Linked DNA regions of Canis lupus familiaris. The protein of the gene in region 4 interacts with the protein of the main gene of each other region in a pairwise test. Links are inferred from orthologs where the notes say so. Each region holds a gene or a part of one and is shown on either strand. Other genes may lie near its edges.

Region 1 (5,571 bases), on a different chromosome or scaffold from region 4:
TCTAAAATGCCTCTCTTGGGTAGGGATTGGACTAAATGTCTCTGAAGTTCTTTGTCCAATATTTCATGATTCTATGAAAGTTGGGATGAGGCAAGAAAAGAAGGGGTTACATTCTTAAGTAATACAGTACAGGGAAAGAGTAAAGCCATTAACAAAATAAATGAAGGCAACTATGTCCATGGCCATACTAAATAACTATAGTGTTTCTCAGATATTAAGTGAAATAAGAGTTGCTAGGGACAGGCTTCACAAAATGGGAGCGGCCTTGGTAGGAAGCTCCTAGGTAGGAAGCTCCTTGAAAACTGGTGGAAAAAAATTAAAAAAATAAAAAAATAAAAAAAAACCTGGTGGAAATAACATCCTGTCCATCTCTGAGTCCCTGAGTCTTTGCATCTAATAAGAGCTCAGTAAATATTTGAAAAACTGATTGGACTCAATGGTCAATGAAAATGGGCACAGTCTGAAAAAGTGGCTCTCTGCTCATCAATCAGGGACTTTCCTGAAAATTGCTTGCTACTGATTAATGACAGTGAACACAGATTGCCTCCATGAGAAGAGGAAAGCAAGGAACCAACAAGACAGGTGCATTTTTGAGAATAGTTTGTAAGAGAGATCTAATGGCCCAGGCTGGGAGACATCTGAGTGATCCTTTTGGCTCTATCATAGATTTATTCTGTGGTCTTCAGAGAGCCCACTCTAGGGTTTAGGATGCCTCCACACATGCTGTTAGAAAATGGAGTCTGGGGCAGCCCAGGTGCCTCAGCGGTTTAGTGCCGCTTTCAACCCAGGGCCTGATCCTGGAGACCCAGAATCAAGTCCCACATCAGGCTCCCTGCATGGAGCCTGATCTCCCCCTGCCTGTGTCTCTGCCTCTCTCTCTCTCTCTCTCTCTCTCTCTCTCTCTCTCTCTGTCTCTCATGAATAAATAACATCTTTAAAAAAGAAAAAAGAAAAAAAGAAAATGGAGGCGGGATGGGAAAAGAAGAGGAGGGATTCTCACGTTTCAGGAGGACAGATAAGGAAGACAAACCTATGAAGCCATCTGTGGACGATCCAGGCTCTCTCTCCTCCACCTGTTTTCCCACTTTTGCCCCTCTTTCCTTTTTTTTTTTTTAATTTTTATTTATTTATGATAGTCATACAGAGAGAGAGGGGGGGGGTGGCAGAGACACAGGCAGAGGGAGAAGCAGGCTCCATGCACCGGGAGCCCGACGTGGGACTCGATCCCGGGTCTCCAGGATCGCGCCCTGGGCCAAAGGCAGGCGCCAAACCGCTACGCCACCCAGGGTTCCCCCCTCTTTCTTCATTTCGGTATCTGTTAACCCCTGCCTCTCTCCCTCACACCCAAGACAATGAACTAGAAAAATCAGAGATGCTGAAACTCAGAACCCTCTATTTTGCTTTCATCAAAAGCTTGGTGGGAAAAGGAAGTGGAACTGATGGCTAAAGTGAGTGCTTTAAAGTAGTCATAAATTGCAGTGACTGTGCTGCTTGCTCCTTTTGTCCTCCAAGGTCATGGATAATTGAGTGTTGGCTTGGTGTACCTCCAAAGAGCTAAAGCCTTTGAAATGAAGTACTCTATGAAATGTGAGAAAATCAGAAATGGCAGCTCTCTATGTAGTACCCCTGTATACATCTAAAGATCTGTAAGACATATCTAGGCTGTGCCTAGGTCTCTCAGCCTTTGACTAGACCTGCTATTGACACTCCCTCTACTATAGCCTTTCCTGTCAAGTGGGCCAGAGTGACACAGTGAAATGACAATGGAGTTTGGCATAAGCTGGACTTTGGTTTAAGTCTTTGTGCTACCCTTGCTGTTTGTTTGACTTGATTCATTATTTTGTCTCACTGAACCTGTTTCCTCATCTGGCAAATATATATAATAATGCCTACACTGGAGGATATTGTAAGGATTAAATAAAATGGAGTAGGTAAAATGCTGAAATAATTTTTCTCTTTTCCATTAATATTCCCTCTAAAGGAAACTACTATATCATGCTCCACACCTTCTAACTTTCCAAGGAATCTGGGACTGCAATTAGAGAAAAGAATATGTTGGATAGAAGGCATAAGACAAAAGAGAAAGAACAGGAAGAAAATCATGGAGTGCTCATGTGACCACAAAAGGGACATTAGTTTTGGAAATGTAGGACTCAAAGGTAGAGATGCAGAAGGTGAAGTGGAAAAAAGAGATACCACTAAGATTTAGCCTTGGGGAATCAGTAAGAACCAGTAGCTAATGGGTGTGATCTGTTTTTTGGATACTTCCCCTGATCTGATATCTTCTTCCTGATTTTGAGGTGGGAGAGCTCATGGGGTTCTGCTCATTTCCACCAACCTCTTACTGGGGAAGGAGAAAAGCCATTTCCTAGTTGGATTGTGGCCCCGCCCTAAAAATTGTTGTCTGGATGCTCAAACCTTCTGGATTGCCTGAAGGATGTGCTCTTTTAGGGGATTTGAAGGAACCTGGGGCTCTCATCCAAGCTGAGGTGAAAAGGAGGGAGAAACAGGGTAACTCCTTTATTTTTGAACCAGGAAAACATAGCCCAGGAAGTTTGCAACCCTAGCACATTTTGGAGGAAGCCCCAAAGAGGAAAAAACTTGCTTTTTCAGCTTTTCTCTCGCGTCTTCCTCCATATTTTCCACCGGGCTCTCTGCTCCTGGGAGCACAGCCGGGATCACAGCCCAGAGGCCCGGGTCGGGGACCAGCCGCTCCGCGGTGACGTAATGCCTTGCAGGGTACACAAAGCGGCCTCCCTCCGGCCCGGCCTCTCCGCCCCTCCCCCCGGCCTGGTCCGCGCCCTCGCCAGCACCGGCGCGGTGAGTCCCCCTTTCGGAAAGGCCAGGCCAGGGAAACAGGGAACAAAGGCCCGGGAAGAGGGGCCTGGGCGCTGCCAGGAGGCCCAGAATAGACATCACGTCATCCCTAGCTCGGCAGCGCCAAGCGCCATTTGGTAGCATCGGACGGACCCACCATTACGGTGCAGAACCGCACTTGGGGGCCCTGGGCGGCCGCCAGCCCCGCGCCCCGCGCCCCGCGCCCCGCCCGCCCGCTGGGCAGCAGCTCCTGGCGCCCCCGCAGCCTCGGCTCCCCGCAGCGGGCCGCTGGCCCCCGGCCCCCCAGCCCCCCAGATGCCATCTTGGCGCCCATCCCCCGCCGCTGCCCTCCCCCGCAGCCCGAGGAATGGGAGGGGGAGCAGGGGGCACCGCCCTGAGCGCCCCGAGGGGGAGAGGTCCTCATCCTCCTCCCTTCCTCCCCTGCAGAGCGCCGACTCGGGCCACACAGGTTTCCGCGCGACCCGCGACCCCCGGCGACCCCCGGGGACCCCCGGATTGGCTGGCCCCTGCACCCGCAGCTCAAGTTCTGGCGCCGCTCGCCGTCGCAGGCCCAATCCTAGCGGGTCCGACCCTGAAGGCCCTGGGGTGGGCTTCGCTCCCTCCCGGCACTGGGCGCCCCTGGCTGTGCGGCGGTGCCCACGGCCCCAGGCTTTAGTTGTCCGCACTCTACTTACCAAAGCTAGGTCGGATATTGGTGATCTCAGCCATGTCGTAATCAGAGGCTATTGCTATGTATGCTTTTTCAGGGATCAGACGAGTCTGGGGGCGCCCGGTCAGCACCGAGGCCGCCGCTGTAGAGGGCCAGCTCAGGGGAGGGGGAAGGTGTCTGGCGGACACCTCCTGCGACGGTCGGGCCCCTGACTGCCAGCTGCGGCCGCCTCCTAAGATGCTCCGGGGATGCTCTGAGCGGAAGGATGCAGGTGCAGCCAGACTGGTCCTGATGCGGGTAGGCCCCGCCCTCTTCCGAGCGGCCCTCGGCAGGAGACTCCGCCTCCGCCCGAAGAGTTCCGGGAGCCAGGCCCCGCCCCGGAAGCTCCCGGCGAGGGGACCGCCGAGATTTCTGGAGAGGGAGACCCAGCCCACCGGCGGACCGCGGATGGGTGGGGTGGTCTGAGAGCTGTAGGTGTCTTTCCCTATGCAGTTCTATAGATCCTGTGGTTCCGGTTCCCGGGGCTTAATACAGCAGCAGAATGTTCAGGGTGACGGAACCTAGTATTTTGGAAAAAGAAAATTGTATACTGTCTGCATTTCAGTATCATTTGCCATTATTGTGCATTTCTGAAACTACTAAATGTTATTATGGAAACTTTCTTAAACTTCAGAAGCTCTGATTAAAGACTAAACCAGGTGATGGTTGCACAACTCTGGAAACTTACTGGGGATACTTGTAGAACAATTCTGCAATCCATCTACGGATGGATTTTGTGGTGTAAATGAAAGCTGTTTTTTAAAAAAGACTAATGAGGTGTGTCAGAGTTAACCCGTGTTGGGTATTCCTCTTACAAAAACTTCCAAGGGCTTATAGGGGGTCAGAGAAGGAGACACAAGGGCAGAGCCAGCAAGGAAACCGACAGAACTGTATATCCTGCAGGTTGAAGAGCAGGATACAGAGGAAACTCCAAGCTTCTAGAGACTTCCTTGGCATTGGGAGAGGCAGGGTGATTCAGGTTGTAGACTCCTGGCAGTCGTCTGCACGATTACCGCAATTTCCCTCTTCTCTTTGGCTGTGGACGCTTTCATCCTGTTTACAGACAGGATCAGGTCAAATTATTTAAACGCATGAGTAGCTGTTGGTGGTGTACCTGCAAACGGAGATGGTTGGGTGTATTGTTTCAGCTTCGACATTCTGTCCTTCCAGAAAAGTGGAGAGAACGTGGGTCTAGGAATCATGCATTCATTCAAACCCCGTGTGTTGGATTAATAAACAGCACTCCATCCCGGGCGCCTTTCCAAGCGCTGGACCTGGCATGTCAGGAGCTGGAGTTAGGGCACCTGCGGTCCCTCAACAGGTGTGTGTATGCAATCACCTGCCCAGCCAAGCCGGAGTTAGGACACCTGAGGTCCCTCGACAACTGTGTGCGTGGAACCACCTACCCAGCCGAGCCAGAGTTAGGACACCTGAGGTCCTTGGACAGCTGTGTGTGTTTAAGAACCTGACCAGCTGAGCCGTGTTAGGGCACCTGAGGTCCCTCCACAGCTGCATGTGTGCAATCACCTACCCCGCCGAGCCAGGAGTGTGTTCCGTACGCGGGGGAGGGTGTAATAGCCACTATCCCCCGGGGCTACTGCGAGGATCAGGTCACCTAAGATAACTTACTTGAAAGCATTTTATGGAATTAAGAGCATTATGCAGACCGCAGCGATCACTGCGGGCTGAGTCCAAGCCTGCCCCCATTTTATTGGGGAACCCGCACTATTGGTACAAGCCCGGGGGTCTTTTTCCTGCAATTTTATGAATTCGCCACTTCCTCGGTTCCGCGTTCCAGGTATTTCGCGGCGGGAACGAAGAGTTGTCAAAGCACACCACCGAGTCGCAAAGTCCAGCCTTATTTTGAGTAGGATCGCTGCGCGTACAGAGAAAGCGAGAAGGAATCTCGCTTTTAAAGTCTTTCGCAAACGTCGGACGCGCCGGCTTCAGTCCGCCCTCACCTAACATGGGGCCTGGGGGCTTGGCGCATGCTCCCTGGCGGCTTGGCGCCGCGCACCGCCGCTCGGGGGCGCGCACGTCCGGCG
Region 2 (5,388 bases), on a different chromosome or scaffold from region 4:
ACAGAAAATGAAAAAGAAAGAACCAAAGACTATTCTTCCACACGATCCCACTGCTGATGTTTTTGTTATACCAGCTGATGAAAAGCCGATAGAAATACAGTGGGTAAAACCAGAGCCAAAAGTGGATTTGAAGGCAAGAAAGAAAAGGATTTACAAAAGGCAAAGAAAAATGAAACAGAAGATGAACAGTGGCAGTGCAAAATGAATCAGTGGATAACTAACTTTTCAGTAATTTTATATTTATTTTGTATTCAGTGTGTAAATACGGTTTTATTATCCAGGACTACCTTACATCTCATTAGTGTGGCATTTAAGACAGAAAAACCAAATTAAACTTCGTGGCTTCAGTGGTGTGTATGTTTTTCTAAATATTACCAGAACTCATCAATTAATTTATTTTTCTTTTCAAAGCTAGTTTGATATTACTTAAAATTCAGCATACTTCAGGTTTAGCCTTGATTTCTTGGATTTAAATTTTGGGTTTAGCAAAGCTGAAATTGAAACAGATTTACTGGGTCATTTGCTACTTGTAAAACAACGAATTTTAGGCACTTTGAGAGCATAATTTCGGACGGTAACCTGCAGATAGACTGGTAGAAAGAAAAAACATCTTACTGAGATCGGAGTCCCTGAGTCACCAATGCAAGAGGCCTTGGAAAAGGTAATCCCTGATCCTTTTTTCTCACCTCAAGAAAGAGCACAATAAAAATTCTTAGGTTTAGAGAATCAAAGGATTTAATATATGTGTTGAAAGTATTTTGTAGATTACAAATTTAATTTAGAAGCAGTGGGTATAAATTGCTTGAGTTAATAATTAAGAGGAAGGAAAATGGAACAGTAGTTAGAGGGTACTGGAACATGTGAGTTTCTCTCCTGATGAAAGAACTGTTTGAGGCAGAAAGCAGGAAGCTTATATCCTGGAGGTTAGTTAGTAAGAGGGAAAGACAAGATTCTGGGTGTTAGCGGCCATGGACAGGTAGCTGCTGAAGAGGCAGACTGATTTACATACACATATCCATAACAGGATTGGATCATGTGTGTATTGTTCTGTGACCCACTTATTTCATATTAATCATTTCCCCATGTCTTTATTATAGAACATGACTAATTGCATAGTATTCCACTCTATGCCGTAACTATACAATCTATCCCCTATTGTGGGATATTTCAGTTATTAACTTATGGGTGCTTATAGCAAACATTTCTTGACGTAAATTATTTTATATCACCCTTGTGGTTTCGTATAAGTGGAACTCAAGTCAAAAGATACGAATGTTAAGACATTTTGTATTTCACCAGAGGTCAGAGTTCATATACTTAAAACAACAGTGAAATAATGACACTTGACAACAGTGAAATAATCATTGTCAGTTTGGTAAGTTAAAAAAGAATACCTTTTTGGGGAAGATAATAGTTTTTCTTTTGTTACTAATCTTGTTTTTGTAGTTCTCTTTTACTAATTTGTAAGAGCTCTTCTATGGCTGAGTTATTCTATACATCTTTCCCGGTTCCTCACTTGTATTTTAATTTTGTTCTTTAAATCTGTAGACAGAACAATTGATTTTCTATTATATTTCATTTTTTCTTAATTTTTTTCAAAGAAAGGCCTTGATTGTACAATGAGGCCACTTTATTTTGAAATAGTCTAAATTAGGCTACTTATCTTGCAATTCATATTAAGCAGGTAGGTCAGTTCAGAGGTTCACTTTTTTTTTTTTTTTAAGAGGTTCACTTAAAATACTTGTGTCTGGTAATGAAGACCAAATCTGGTTAAGTGCAGGGGGAGAAAAAGCTGATTTATTTCAGCAATTGAATATAGCCCGGGATGAAAAGCTGTAATTCAGGATTTGAATTTAAATACTCACATCTCAAGAAGTTAATTATAGGTTATAAAATAAACTGGCTCAACAAGTTGTGAGTTTGAGTGAAGACCCAAACTTTTAACATATTCTGAGGTGTGTGTTGTAGAGTTTTCATGGATTTTTTTTTTTACAATTTTGATTATCAGTTTCTACATATTTTCCTGTCCCAAATTACTTCCCTTTTACAGTCATTTATAGGAGTACCTCATTTGAATGAGAATTCGTCTTTATAGTCCATGTTCATTTAGAAGCCAACTCGTTTAACAAAGGTAATTCTTTAAACAAATTTATATCCAGTGTAATTGTCTTTACGTTGCTGTACAATGTTACAGGCAAAAAGAGTTCCCTCTTCTCTCAGGAGGAAAAAGGCAGGTGACTCACAAGTCCTAAACAAAACCAGATGTAGTTGGGGGAAAAAAGTTATTTTCTTAGCCACGTTTTATTCCTACCGCAAAGCCATTCTCAAATGGGGAGAGTTTCTATTTTGCCCTGTATTCAAACTCAACTATCCATTGCCGATTTACAAACTAAGGTGGTGTGTGGTATCTTCCTTCTTTGAAAAGGAGGCAGGTGTATGAATTTTGAGTATGAGTTGGTTGAATAGTGGTGTGGAAAAACTTGATGAGGTTTAGGGTTGGTTGGTCTTGATTGATAGGGCAGAGTATTAGGGAAACGAGGGACCACCTTGTACAATAGATGTTAGCAATAGAGCCAAACCTCTTTATGCATGGTTGACGAAACCGACACCTAACAACTGATGTATGTAAACATTCCACATTACAATGAAATACATTGGTGTGCATATTTCACCAACATATTTAAATGATAATTAGAATACTATTTTGATACCTTATCAAATTGTTTGGAACAGTTGTAGGGATCTCCCATCCTGTAATACTCTTATCAGTTAGATCAAGGAAAAAATGGTTAAATACTAGGAAATGTAGGATTAGAAACCAGAAAGTTAGGATTAGAGAGGAATGGATGGATGGGTTAGCACAATTTTACCCATATTGGAGGTAAAACATTTGGTATGTTTTAAAAAATGTGTTGATGCTGTCTCCCACTGTTCCAATTTAGGCCATCATATTTACCGTTATTTCTCTGCATATTGGTCAGATTGAGCAGTATTAGAGATCTCGATGAGTGGCGGCTGGAGAGAACTGAAGAGTTACACCCGGTATTGGGTCCACCTGAATCCTGCCATTGAGCAGTTGGGGAGGCCTGAATGAACCACTCGACTACTTGGAGTCCGAGTTGCCTCCTCTAAAAACGGGGCTCCACTGAGAAATTATCTTCAGAAAACAAGGTGTTTTCCAGAATCTCCCATCAGACTCCCCATCAGCCTCGGGCAGGCTGCCCTCTTGGCGCTCCTTACACAGACGGCCCACTGTGCCGCTCACTATGACGCCCGCCGCGGCCCCGCCCCCCGCCCGTCCGGGCCCCGCCCCCGCCCGCCCGGGCCCCGCCTCCCGCCTGTCCGGGCCCCGCCCCCACCTGTCCAGGCCCCGCCTCCCGCCCGGCCGGGCCCCGCCTCCCGCCTATCCAGGCCCCGCCTCCCACCTGTCCGGGCCCCGCCTCCGCCTCGCGCAGCCTTCCGGGAACCGGGCCCGCCCCCAGCCCATGCGGAGCCGCGGCCGCCGGCGCCGCCCCCTCCGCGCGCCCGCCTGCCGCAGCCCGCGCCGCCTGTGGCCGTCGCGCGCCTCCGCCGCCCCGCGCTGCTGCCGCCGCCGCCGCCGCCGCCGCCGCCGCGCTCGCTGGCTGGCCCGGTGCGGGCGCTGGGCTCCCGCTGCCGAGGAGGCCCAGCAGCGCCGCCGCCGCCGCCGCCGCCCCTTCGGCCCGGGCCCGGGCCCCCGCCCCGCCCCGGGCCCCGGCCCCGGCCCCGGCCCCGGCCCCGGCGCCCTGCCCGGCCCGGCGATGAAGTGTCACTACGAAGCGCTGGGGGTGCGGCGCGACGCCAGCGAGGAGGAGCTCAAGAAGGCCTATCGGAAGCTGGCCCTGAAATGGCACCCGGGTAACTACGAGCCGGGCCCCCGCCACCCCTCGCAGCCCTCGCAGCCCGAATAACTGCGGGGCCCTGGGCGGCCCCGACCTCCCGCGGGCTCGGGCTCGGGCTCGGGCCAGGTGCCGCTGCGCAGAGCCCTTGCCGCCGCCCGCCGCCCGCCGCCCGCCGCATCCTCGGCCCGGCTGCCCCGGAGCCCCCGCGCCCGCGGCCCCTCCCGGCCCCTCCCGGCCGCCCCGCGCCCGCGCCCGCAGCCCGCAGCGCCTTCTAGCGCCTTCCCCGCTCCTCCCGGGGGCCGGGGCCCCGAGCGCCTGGTCCCGGCCGCCTAGCTGCCCGTAGCTGCCCGTAGCTGCCCGTAGCTGCCCGTAGCTTCATCGCCGAATCCCGGCTGCCCAGGCGTGAAGCCTGGCCGCTTACTGAAATCCAGGCTGTCTGTTAAGTAGCTGTGCCCCCCCCCCCCCCCCCCCGCCCCGACTCCTTTCCCGGTAACCGTTGAAATTCAGACCCGGACTCCCCTTCGGGTGTCCTGCAGACCGAGACTTTGAAGGCGGTGGCTTCCCTCGCGAAGCTTGCCCGTGTACTTAGAAGTACGCTTCCTTTGGATGTTTTATTTGGTGGTAGGTCAGGCTCCTGGGAGGTTTCGGACTGGGAAACTAAGGGCTGTCGTTGAACCTCAGCTTTTTGAGGCTTCTGAGAGGTTTACGTATTAGCGCTAGAACCTCCAGTATATACAAGGCACCAGAGGAAGATTCTGAAGTGCTTAGAGATCCCAAGAGTCTTGCTGGGAAAACATGCTGTACCTAAGCCGTGAAATCTTAAATACAAGTGCAAACAAAACAGCACAACACACACAATTGGTAGTTGGATTCGTAGAACAACTAACAAATGCCCCAGGCATTCTGGGGACGAAGTTTTTTCACTGTGTCCTGAGAGGCAGTGAGGCTTCCCCTTGGCAGAGGAGCCTAGATTTATGCTGGATCCTAGAGGAATGGAACTGGGAAAGGTAAGCTTAAAAGTAGAGGCAACAGCATCATGGTGGACCAGAGATGGTCCAGGGGCAGTTTGAGGACAGTATTTATTGGAAATCTGAAAATATGTGTTGAGAGAAGAGCTGAAGGAGGGGCTTGGGACCCAAATGGTCAAAGGGTAACGTCTGGGGTTGAACAAGAAATAAAGGTATGGATTTGTTACTTAGAGTAATGATCACCAACGGAGGAACTTAAATATATATTGGAAAGGAAGAAAGTAAGCAAGCTAAACATTCATCACAGCAGGAAGTCAAAATTAATTAAATCCAAAATGAATAATTCTAAAGAGTATTGAACCATATTCTTAGAGTAATAAGGGTGTTCATCAGAAATTGAGTAGGAATTAGAAGGAAGTTAGAAATTCCTTGCCTTTTCTGGCTGGAAAAATGTGATTGATGCTTGTGACCAAATGCATATATAATTTTGATGATAATACTAAGATTTTTTTTTTTTTAGTGTAGTTTTAAGATCAGATTGTAAAGGGTCTTGAATGTTA
Region 3 (5,534 bases), on a different chromosome or scaffold from region 4:
TGTTTAATGAATTAATGCACTTGAGATAATTATTGTGTATAAATGAATAATTTGATGTATAAATGGGTGCTATTAGCCCCCTTTTTTTTTCTTTTTCTGTCATCTTCTAATTTTGATATTAAGGTTATTCTGGCTTCACAAAATGAGCCAGCTAGCTATCAAACATTTCATTTAAGTATAATTACTCTTAGGACTTGATAATGTCTAGCACTGTCTGATAGGTAGAATATGATGAATGACTTGATTTCTTTATTTTTATTTATTTATGATAGTCAGAGAGAGAGAGAGAGAGAGAGGCAGAAACACAGGCAGAGGGAGAAGCAGGCTCCATGCACCGGGAGCCCGACGTGGGATTCGATCCCGGGTCTCCAGGATCGCGCCCCGGGCCAAAGGCAGGCGCCAAACCGCTGCGCCACCCAGGGGTCCCGACTTGATTTCTTTAATGTTATGGTTATCTTTAGGTTTCTAAAAAATTCTTCCCAACTATTTTTGGTAGTTAATATTTTTCAATAAAATGTTGCTGTCTACATTTTCAGGTTAATTGGTATATCAGTTTATTATTGCTGCTGCAACCAACTCCTACAAACTCAGTGACTTAAAGCAAGCCAAATTCATTGTTTTATAGTTCTGGAGGTCAGAAGTCTAAAATGAACAGGCAGGGACTTTTTCAGCTTCCAGAGATTGCTGCATTACTTGGCTCACTGACTCACTGTGATGGAAAGGAAGCCTGCCCCTGAACCTGCCCTCAAGTCCTACCTCCAACAGTACCTCCTAGAAGGCACCCTGTGAGAGCTGTCTCGGGTGGAGGGCTTGCTGGAGACCTCTCAGGGAGTAAGGGGGAGCCTTGCCCCCTAGCATGGCGGCCTTGCTTCTCCTCAGACTGGAGACCGGTGTCCAGAAGGTACTCGAGAGGAGCCTCAGGACAGCTGCCACCCAGACTCCATAGCCAGTAAATGCTGCCTCTGCTCTGCAAAAATAAAGGTATCTCTGCCACCTGGAAAAAAAAAACAAAACAAAACAAAACAAAACAAAAACAAAAACAAAAAGAAAACAAACAAAAAACCCTCACTCTGACCCTGTAACCTCCCTCTTGTAAGGACCGTTGTGATCTCAGTGGACCCACCTGAATAATAATAATTCATGATACTCTTCCCCTCTCAAGATCTTTAACCGAATCGCATCTGCAAAGTCCCTTTTGCCGAGTCAGATAACATCTTCACGTGTATTGGGAATTAGGCCGTGGGCCTCTTCTGGAGGGCCATTACTCTGTACCTGTCATACTCGGCGTCATGGTTTTCATTGTATTTTCTCCTGTTTTTCTAGATGTTGCCCTTTTTCACTTCAAAACGCATTCATTTCTCCCTCTATCACTTTCTTTTAATCAATCCGCCTGTTTTATATTATAGCCGCCGGTCTCACGAACTAGGCCCCGAGGAGCCGTGGCAGGAGCGCGAGGTCTGGTGCGAAGGCCGCACCTGCACGGCGGGCCGCGCTGTCCCCGTCCGCCCACCTGTCATTCCCACGAGTCCGTCAAACAGAGCTGCTTCCCCAGCAACCCCCGTGGGCCTGCTTCCCCAGTCGGCGTCACAGGTCCCGGCGCCCCCGAACACGTTCGCTGCGCGTCCCACTCTCGGAACTGCTGTCTCTGCGATGGAAACATCCGAGCCTCCTCCTCCTCTCGAGGCCCAGCTCCTGGAAGTCCCGAGGGAGGTGAGCGGCTCACCTTCCTCCTCCCCGGGGCCCGGGAGCCGCCGCGCTGGTTCCGACGTCTGGGGAACCGACGGGGCGCGCCCGGCTCCCGCCCGCGCCTCCGCCCGTGGGGCCTCTCCGCTCCCGGCTCCCACGAGTCAGGTCAAGGCCGCTACAAAGGGCTTGAATGAAACGCGTGTGCGTTTCGCGAGTCGTCAACCGCCAGGGGACCAGCCTCCTCCGCGCACCACGGCATCTCTCGCAGGAGGAGGCCCGGGGCCGAGCGCTGGCTCCCGGCGGCGCGCGCGGACACGGGGGCGGCGGGGCGAGGCCGGCCCCCTCCCTCCCCTCCCCCCTCCCCTCCCCTCCCCTCCCCGGCCGCGCCCCGCCTCGCCCGCGGCCGCTCCAGGCACCGCACTCTCCGCCCGCCTAGCGCCTGCTGTGGCAGCGACGAGCTCCGTCGGCCGCGTCCCCACCCCCGCCACCGAGCCCCTTGCCCGCGAGCCCGCGCCGCCCCCCGGTCAACTTTGAGCGGGAGGAGCAGCAACTTTGACGGTGGCCGCGGGGTTCGGATCCCGCTTCTCCCCGGCAGCAGAAGCCTCGCAGGTCGCTGGCGTTAGGCGGGGCGAGAGTTTCCCCGGGCGCGTCGGCGCAGCGTCCAGCTGTTTGCAACCTGTTTCCAGCGAGCCGGGAGCGGGATGGTGGCTGCCAGTCATCCGCAAAGGGGCAACTCGTTTTTCTCTCCCTGTAGCGACCTCGGCTTACAACTGGATAAAGCGGTTATTGAAAGGGTGTAAAAAGGCAGCGCGACTGTTCCCAACTGGATAAAGCGGTATGGAAAGGAAGTAAATAGGCAGAGCTACTGTTGCCGAGAAGGCAGCCGCCCAAAGGCAGGGAGGAACGTGGGGCTTGGTCCGGGCTTCTCCCAGTCGCAACATTAACCAACAAGCAGGTGCTGGTGGCAACTTTTCAAGGTCGGCCACCGAGAGCAGCGATTCCCCCTCTGAACCCTGGGGATACGCGGCGCTCGGGCTGGATTTGGCTGCGAAATGCACGGGAAGCCGAAAGAGGAAGGATTGTAGAAGGGGAGGGTTTGTGACCCAAGACCCATCCCCCAACCTCTCCGTAATCTCCCGTCCCCCATCGCCGGGGCGGGGGTGAGTATGTGACATGTGTCCGACTCTCAGCAGCAATTTAGGCAGCAGGTGTCGGTGCTAACCGGGAGCCACGCTGCCGGGCGCGCCCTCTGCGAGCCATGCGGGCCCCGGGCGCGCCTCTCGCCCGCACCTCGCGGCTGCTGCTTCTGCTACTGCTCAAGCTCTCCGCCTCGCCTGCCCTCGGGGCCGCTCCTTGGCCCGGGAACGAGGCTTGCCTAGGACAGAACTGTTCGCCTGCACTGAGCCAGCGCCGCAGCAGGGACGCGTGGGGACGAAGTTCTGCAGGGGACCCTCTGCTAACCCGAGCGCCCAGGGAGAAGGAGCCGGAGCCGGCGGCGCGCGCGGCGCCCTGGCGGGACCTCAGGGCTGCCCGGGGCGGTGACCCAGGTGCGGGGACAGGGCCGGAGGTGTCGGCCGCGGAACCCTCGGGACCTCCCGCCAGACCCTCTGGAGCCTGGAGGTGGAGAGGGGCCCGGGGCCAGGAGCCCCCCGGAACTTTGGGAAGAGGGAACCCCCCGGCTCTCCAACTCTTCCTTCGGAGCTCAGAGGGGGCAGAGAAGGGTCCTAGAGGCGCTGGCATTTCTGGGCACAGCCAGGAGCCGAGTGTGAGGACAGAACCTGCAGCCAGCGACCTTTATTACTGGCCAAGGAGAGGCGGGAAACCCCAGGGTGCCCACCACGACCCCCCACCCAAGACGGTCGATGGACCGTCGGGGCACGAAGGGCGGACGATCGCACCCCCTGGCAGGGCGCTGGCCCAGAATGGGTCCTCAGGGGAGGGCGTCCACGAGCGCGGGGGGCTCCGCCGGGGGAACAGCACGCACCGGCGCTTGCGACTGAAGAACCCCTTCTACCCGCTGACCCAGGAGTCCTACGGAGCTTATGCGGTCATGTGTCTGTCTGTGGTGATCTTCGGGACCGGCATCATTGGCAACCTGGCGGTGATGTGCATCGTGTGTCACAACTACTACATGCGGAGCATCTCCAACTCCCTCCTGGCCAACCTGGCCTTCTGGGACTTTCTCATCATCTTCTTCTGCCTTCCGCTCGTCATCTTTCACGAGCTGACGAAGAAGTGGCTGCTGGAGGACTTCTCTTGCAAGATTGTGCCCTATATCGAGGTAATAATGTCTTCCAGGGGGTCTCAAACTACTGGCTTTACCCATTTCGGGGATGTATAGCATCCCAATTGCTGCTCCACGCACCCACCTAGCTGCTGAACCCCTTTACTTTTTTTCTGGGGCCTCCTCCGCTTCTCCTGTCAATCATTAAGAGAGAGAAAAAGAGAGAGGCAGCTTTGTTTGCTCACTTTCAAACTCTTCTGCTCCTGGATTTTGAAATAATTATGTTTTCATCATGTATAGAATTGTTTACATTTTAAATTGATCCCTCCGAATATGGCATTTATATATAGCCTTGATTTGGCACCAGAGAGTCGAGGGTTAATAAATGGCCATTGTGTGGTTGTCATTACCAGAACTCAGCAGCAACAACCAAAAATCATGTATTGTTTCTCAAGTAGTGCTCCAACATGATTTTTTTCCCAAGGAGATTATTGAATCTTTCTTAAATATCAAAATGGAAATACTATTTTATTTAACAAAGGAAATCTGCCTTTGTCAGTTGGCTTCATGATATATTAATAACCTCCCAAATTAGTTTAAGTGTCCTTTGGCAGTCTGCCATGCTATCCCATCTAAATTCTTATGTCATTTCTTATTTCTCTCCTTTTCCTTCTCAATTTCTTAACAGTTTTATTTATTTTTTATGGATGAGTTTAAGCAAAGAATAACACTTTGGCCATCATGGCACTGAATTTGCATACATATACATATATATATATATATATATATATATATATACACACACACACACATACATATATATTTGAGCATGCATATATAGTATGTACTTGTCACTTGTTAGGATATAATGGATTGGTTATTTTAAGGGATTAGCTAAGAGTAGAAAAATTTTTTAAGAAGAAGGGGGGCATATAATAGGTTCCAAACTTTGGAGACAAAAATATTGCTGAGTAAAATTTTATTTTTTCATCGTACAGCTAGTGTCCTGGACCGTTATTATGGTAGTTGGTATTTGCTCTTTAAATGGCCTCTCTTTAAACACCAGCTCTTGGAAGGAGCCCAAGTGCTTTGTTGCCAGTTGTGTTTTTAGCCAGCTGGCCCTTGATTTCCTCCATTCAGACTGCCCATTTCATTTATGGAAGCAGAAGAAGGGAAACTGTAAATATTCCAGAGCCCCTGATCCTGTCTGGCACCAGAGCCAGTGACACTATGTTCAACATTGTTCCAGGGCTCAAAGCTAGGAGATAAGTAAACAGAAAACAGTACCTACTTAGACGAACAAGGGAAGAGATAGTAAATAAGACCCTCTGTTATCCTGGCAGGGATCAGATGCAGAATCATTCCATACTGGCTAAACCAGCTGTTGCTACTTTACCAAAACCTAGGGTTTCTTTTGTTGCCAGGCTCCATGTAGCTCTGAAATATCTATTTTATTTGTAGACAGTTCATTTTTTAATTGCAGCGGAGGTAGTTGAATTTATGTAAAAGAGATGTATCTATCAATTGCCTTTTCAAGGTCAATGTTTAAGATCTCTCTGATTGTTTTCTTGAATAATACAGAAGAAATTGACATATGCAAGAATGAGACAAAAGTAAACTATAA
Region 4 (4,937 bases):
CCTGCCTCAAGCTGGAAGGCTTTTCTCAAGCTGTAGGTACAGCTGCCCTGGTCCTCTCTGTGGTTGAACACAGGTCTGTGTCAGATGTACACATGGGGCCCTGGCTCAGGAGGTGGAAAGCACCCAGAGGTGCTCTACTGCTGACCACAGCAGTGGTGCAGATACATTTTAAGGCCCTGGTTCAATCATATTGGCCAAAGCCAGTCACGTGACTGAGCCCAAATCAAGTCTAGAAGGAGAGATGGGAGTGAACAGCTCTGATGAAAAATCTCATCTCTCATATATACGATGAAGGAGATGGAAAGGAGATCAAATCATGAGATAGGTGATCTAAAAAAGAGAAAAGTCTAAGCACACCTGAAGATGATAGTAAGATGTCAGATTCTATACAACAGGTAATAGTGAGACATTTGAAAAGGTTATGTCGCACACTCCAGAAACTTGTACATAATAGATGATAGAGGGAGATGGGAGGTCAGGGAGCAATTGCACAGCTACTATAATGATGAAAGCTTAAAATGGGGAGGTGGCAATTGAGAAGTAAAGGAGCAGGAAGATATGAAGGCAATTTCTGAATCAGAATTAGTTGCTCTTGGCACCTTGCTGGATATAATGGTAGGGTGGAGGAGCCCACAGCGGTGATTCTACTGAAGCCATCAGAAGACACAGAAGGATCATCAGAGTTGTAGGTGATGGGGGAGGGCCTGATGCCTGTGTACCATGGAGGAGGGCAGTGCTTCGACAGAAATGGGGACATGAGGTGGGGCAGACTAAGATGGAGATTGAGGACACAGTGACCATGGCTGAGTAGGAGCCACCCTGAGATTCACAGAGCTGTGAGGACAGGTGGCAAGGAAAGCAAGCATGTCCAGGTGACAGAGGCCTGGGGCATGGGGTACAGAAGCAGAAATGGTACTGAGGACCAGAGGGCATCCCAGTGATCTTCTGAGTCCACAAGGTGAGCCTGCAGGAAATGCTGCTGCATGTTGGGCACCCCTCATAAATGTTTGCTGGTGATGGTGATGGAGCTCTGGAGGGAGGATGGGGGCCAGTTATGACTGTTACAAGCATTGCTGTGTTTGCATGGTGTTGTTTGAACATTGCTACGATGAGAGCATGATTGTGGGTAGTTTATAGATATTGAAATTCAGGGATTGATCGAAAGAACGAGGTCCTGGCTCTGCAGGAGGAGGACTGCAGACAGATGAGTGATTTTCCATCCAGTAGATATTCTGAGATGAGGCTTTGATCTCAGGTAGTCTTGTTTTAGCCCTAGCAAATTATCTGACTTCTAACTTTAATTCTAGTAAATTTTACAGTCTTCTGTTCATACACATCAATATATTGATGCAGAGCATTTTTTCACATATTCACTGATTTTAATTGTGATCTTGGATGGATTGGCCTGCGTATGCTGTTCACTTGCTTCCCCATCGCTGTGGTGATGTTTGCTGGTGACATAGGGGATGCGTGTGGAGTCTACCATAAACATGATTTTAAATTGTAGAGAGAAATGCTCTGTAACTGACAATAACCAACCCTCTGTTTATAAAATGGAGATGAATGCCAGTATTTATATCTGAGAATTGGGAGGACACATCACTTCAGAAGTAAATCAATTTTAAAAGAATTTTGCTTTTTGCTGTGCTTATGTGTGCAGTGTGGTACGTTTTTGCCCTATGAGCTCTCGTGTTGCTTTGACTGTTACCCTAGTTTTCTGTTGCTGTGTTCCATGTATCCCCACGTTTTGGTAGCAGGCATGTGTGTGAGTGCCGTGGCCCTGCTGACCCTGTGTCTGCCTCTATCAAACACACATGGCTCTCAAGTTCCATGACTGCTGCAACCTTGGGCCTAAACAGATCTTAGCCTCTTCTGTGGACTCTGGGATGGAGGACAAGTCAAACCTTACTTGGCATTTTAATGATTGCACTTTCTCAGTCTGTGTCTGCCTTGTTCCCACACAGAGCTGTGACCTGGATCAGCAGAGCATCATTCACGTTGTGCAGAGACCCTGGAGCAAAAGCCAAGAAAGGGAGGTCCCTGGAGGAGATGGCCCACGGAAGGCAGTGGAGGGCTCAGACAGAGAGCCTGAGAGCTTAACGCGTGTGGACCTCAGCAGCTCTGTCCTCCCAGCCCACTCGGTGGGTCTAGCTGTGATCCTGAGCGACGACTCTGAGAGGGTTCTGCCAGCCAGAAGACCAGGTAATTGTACAGATTATGTCTACGGCCAATAGAGCACTTTGTGTAGCCGACCTCTGCAGGGAAGGGGCTCAGTATGTACATATTTAATTCATGTAAGGTCTGGATTACTAGAAGGAGGCATCATTAGAAGGATGGCACTTGGCTATAAAATTTGAGGTGAATACATTTAATAAATACAATAGAACAGGGCTTTCAAATTAAGAATGAAGGGAAGGGCTGGAGCAGGTGTCAGGACCATGGTCATGGTATTTTATTTTAGTTATTTTTAAATTTAATTAATTAAGATGAAGCAGGATGCTGGAAATATGATGCATTGAGCTAGGGTCAAAATACATGATTAAGGTGCATCTATATCCCTCCCAGGTTTTGCCTTTCTTTTTCTATTTCTTATTTTCTTAAAATACATTTTGGTTTATTGTGTTTCTGATGATGTAGGGAAATTTCAAAAAACAGAAAGAGAACTTTAGAGGTAACTTTAATCGTGTGCCAGTGCTAAGACATTACAATGTCAATAACACCCGCAGTGTGAACGATGTTTCTGTCTTTCCGTGTTACACCCCATTTTCAAAATGCTTTTATTTAGCAAGGATGGCGATTCCTTTCTTATTTTGCCAATATTAATGTATTTCCCTTAATCTTTTATTTTTATTTTTTTTTAAGATTTTATTTATTTATTCATGAGAGACACAGAGAGAGAGAGAGAGGCAGAGACACAGGCAGGGGGAAAAGCAGGCTCCATGCAGGGATCCCGATGCGGGACTCGATCCCAGGTCTCCAGGTGAAGGTGGCGCTAAACTGCTGAGCCACCCAGGCTGCCCAGTCTTTTATTTTCCGATCTAAATAGTCAAAGGTAGGGGTGCCTGAGGGTACCTGGGTGGCTCTGCCTTGAGCTCAGGTCCTCATCTCAAGGTCTTAGGATCAGCACCCACCCCTCTTCCAACTCCCTGCTCAGTAGGGAATCTGCTTCTCCCTCTCCCTTTGCCCCTCCCCACTGCTGTGCACTCCCAGGTTCCTGCACACACACAGGCTCTCTGTCTCTCTGCCTCTCTGTCTCAAATAAATAAATAAATAAATAAATAAATAAATAAATAAATAAATAAATAAATCTTTTAAAAAAACAGTCAAAGGGGGCAGCCTGGGTGGCTCAGTGGTTTAGCGCCTGCCTTTGGCCCAGGGTGTAATCCTGGAGTCCTGGGATCAAGTCCCATGTCGGGCTCCCTGCATACAGCCTGCTTCTCCCTCTGCCTGTGTCTCTTCCTCTCTCTCCCTGTGTCTCTCATGAATAAATAAATAAAATGTTAAAAAAAAATAGTCAAAGGTATAACAGGATTCTTTTTGCCTGTGTGTGACAGAAAGCACAAAATAATAGCAATGACTTTGTAAAGTATAAGTAAATTTCTCTCCTATATACAGTAAGTGAGGATTATATGAGACATAGGAAAAAATGTAATACATGGGGAAAAATGAGATCCATCTAAAACTCTGCAGCACCCATGTGATCCAGAATGGAAAGTTAATATAAGTATTGGACTCCGATTTATGGTGCATCTGATGTTTCAAGTGGAGCATACATAAAAGCTATTCTAGAGAACATTCAGGTGGCATGGCAGGTCGCTTCCAGAGGGAATCACCCCCTCTTAAAGGGGCACACGTCATCAAACATTACAATTCAAACAAAGAGACATTCTGTCTTGAGTAGAAGTAAGTATATTCCATAAACTGGAAGATTGGTTTCCCCTGAAACTTGAGAAAATAAAGTAACAATTTGAAACAGAACACAAAACAAATACTTTTGATGTTAATTAAAGCATAAAAGAAAAAAATTGAAACCTAAAACAGAATACAACCATAATAGAAGAACAGCTATTAAATAGAACATAATTTTAGCTATTGGAATGAAAAAAAAAAAAAAAAAGTCCTCAGTGGATGGGTTAAAACAGCAAGTTTGGCAATGCCAAAGAGAGAAATTGTCAACTGGAAGATAGAAATGAAGGAGTTGTCCAAAGTGGTACAGGTTAAAATGTAAAACAATGCTTTTAGGAGACTGAAAGTTTGGAAGAGATGGCCAAACATATTTCTGATGAGTTTCATGACAGGAGAATACAGAATAGAAAAGAGACAGTTTTCTAAGAGAATACTGAAAATTTTCCAGTATGTGTAAGTCCTCTGATTCAAGAGTACATGGTCCCAAGCATAATAAAACAAAGAAACACACAATTGGTCTTAATCAAGATGAACAAAAATAAATTCACTTTATAAAGAAAGTAAAGGACCAAGGAAAAAAAGAAGATATTAAAACCAATTGAAGAAGGAGATTACTTATAATAGAACAGTAATTCGAATGGGTCCTGGCAGGAATAATAGAAGAAAACAATATTGGAATAATATCAAATGGCCAAGGGATACACTTGTTAACTTATGGCTCCAAACCCAACAGGCCTAACAAAAATATTGCTCAAGAGTGAGAGGGAAATAAAGACACTTTCAGATGAACACTGAGAGTATTTGTACTCAGTGTGAAAGAACTGTTGAAGTACTCACAACAGCGAGGAATGGGTTTGAACTCAAAGTGACAAAATGGGATATGAGAGATGATGCTCAAAAATACAAGGATAAATACAAGTTTAAATGAACATTGGTATAAAAAATAATATTGATTAATTTAATGGGTACAAAAATAGGAGAGACCAAAGTAGAGGATAAAATGACATTTAGGAGAAAACTGATCAATTCAT

What was found.
Region 1: the proteins of PRKN (region 4) and SYT11 interact in binary tests that used the Homo sapiens proteins (3 or more experiments, as listed by UniProt). The link is inferred for Canis lupus familiaris from reciprocal best matches to the Homo sapiens genes PRKN and SYT11.
Region 2: the proteins of PRKN (region 4) and RAD1 interact in binary tests that used the Homo sapiens proteins (3 or more experiments, as listed by UniProt). The link is inferred for Canis lupus familiaris from reciprocal best matches to the Homo sapiens genes PRKN and RAD1.
Region 3: the proteins of PRKN (region 4) and GPR37 interact in a two-hybrid assay, tested with the Homo sapiens proteins (2 studies listed by BioGRID). The link is inferred for Canis lupus familiaris from reciprocal best matches to the Homo sapiens genes PRKN and GPR37.

What each region holds. Positions count from the first base shown.
Region 1 is NC_049228.1:41,910,233-41,915,803, forward strand, and holds the start of SYT11 (synaptotagmin-11), read right to left. Parts: upstream 3,821-5,571; 5' UTR 3,547-3,820; coding exon 3,513-3,546; intron 2,821-3,512; exon of another isoform or gene 2,717-2,820; intron 1-2,716. UniProt on the Homo sapiens protein: Synaptotagmin family member involved in vesicular and membrane trafficking which does not bind Ca(2+). Inhibits clathrin-mediated and bulk endocytosis, functions to ensure precision in vesicle retrieval.
Region 2 is NC_049225.1:74,280,525-74,285,912, reverse strand, and holds the start of RAD1 (cell cycle checkpoint protein RAD1), read right to left. Parts: upstream 3,269-5,388; 5' UTR 2,957-3,268; intron 2,249-2,956; exon of another isoform or gene 2,067-2,248; intron 1,543-2,066; exon of another isoform or gene 1,395-1,542; intron 348-1,394; exon of another isoform or gene 206-347; coding exon of another isoform or gene 1-205. Other genes in the region: BRIX1 (ribosome biogenesis protein BRX1 homolog), read left to right, coding at 1-205; DNAJC21 (dnaJ homolog subfamily C member 21), read left to right, coding at 4,835-4,867. UniProt on the Homo sapiens protein: Component of the 9-1-1 cell-cycle checkpoint response complex that plays a major role in DNA repair. The 9-1-1 complex is recruited to DNA lesion upon damage by the RAD17-replication factor C (RFC) clamp loader complex.
Region 3 is NC_049235.1:10,977,273-10,982,806, forward strand, and holds the start of GPR37 (prosaposin receptor GPR37), read left to right. Parts: upstream 1-2,120; 5' UTR 2,121-2,944; coding exon 2,945-3,967; intron 3,968-5,534.
Region 4 is NC_049222.1:51,317,283-51,322,219, reverse strand, and holds part of PRKN (E3 ubiquitin-protein ligase parkin), read left to right. Parts: intron 1-1,964; coding exon 1,965-2,202; intron 2,203-4,937. UniProt on the Homo sapiens protein: Functions within a multiprotein E3 ubiquitin ligase complex, catalyzing the covalent attachment of ubiquitin moieties onto substrate proteins. Substrates include SYT11 and VDAC1.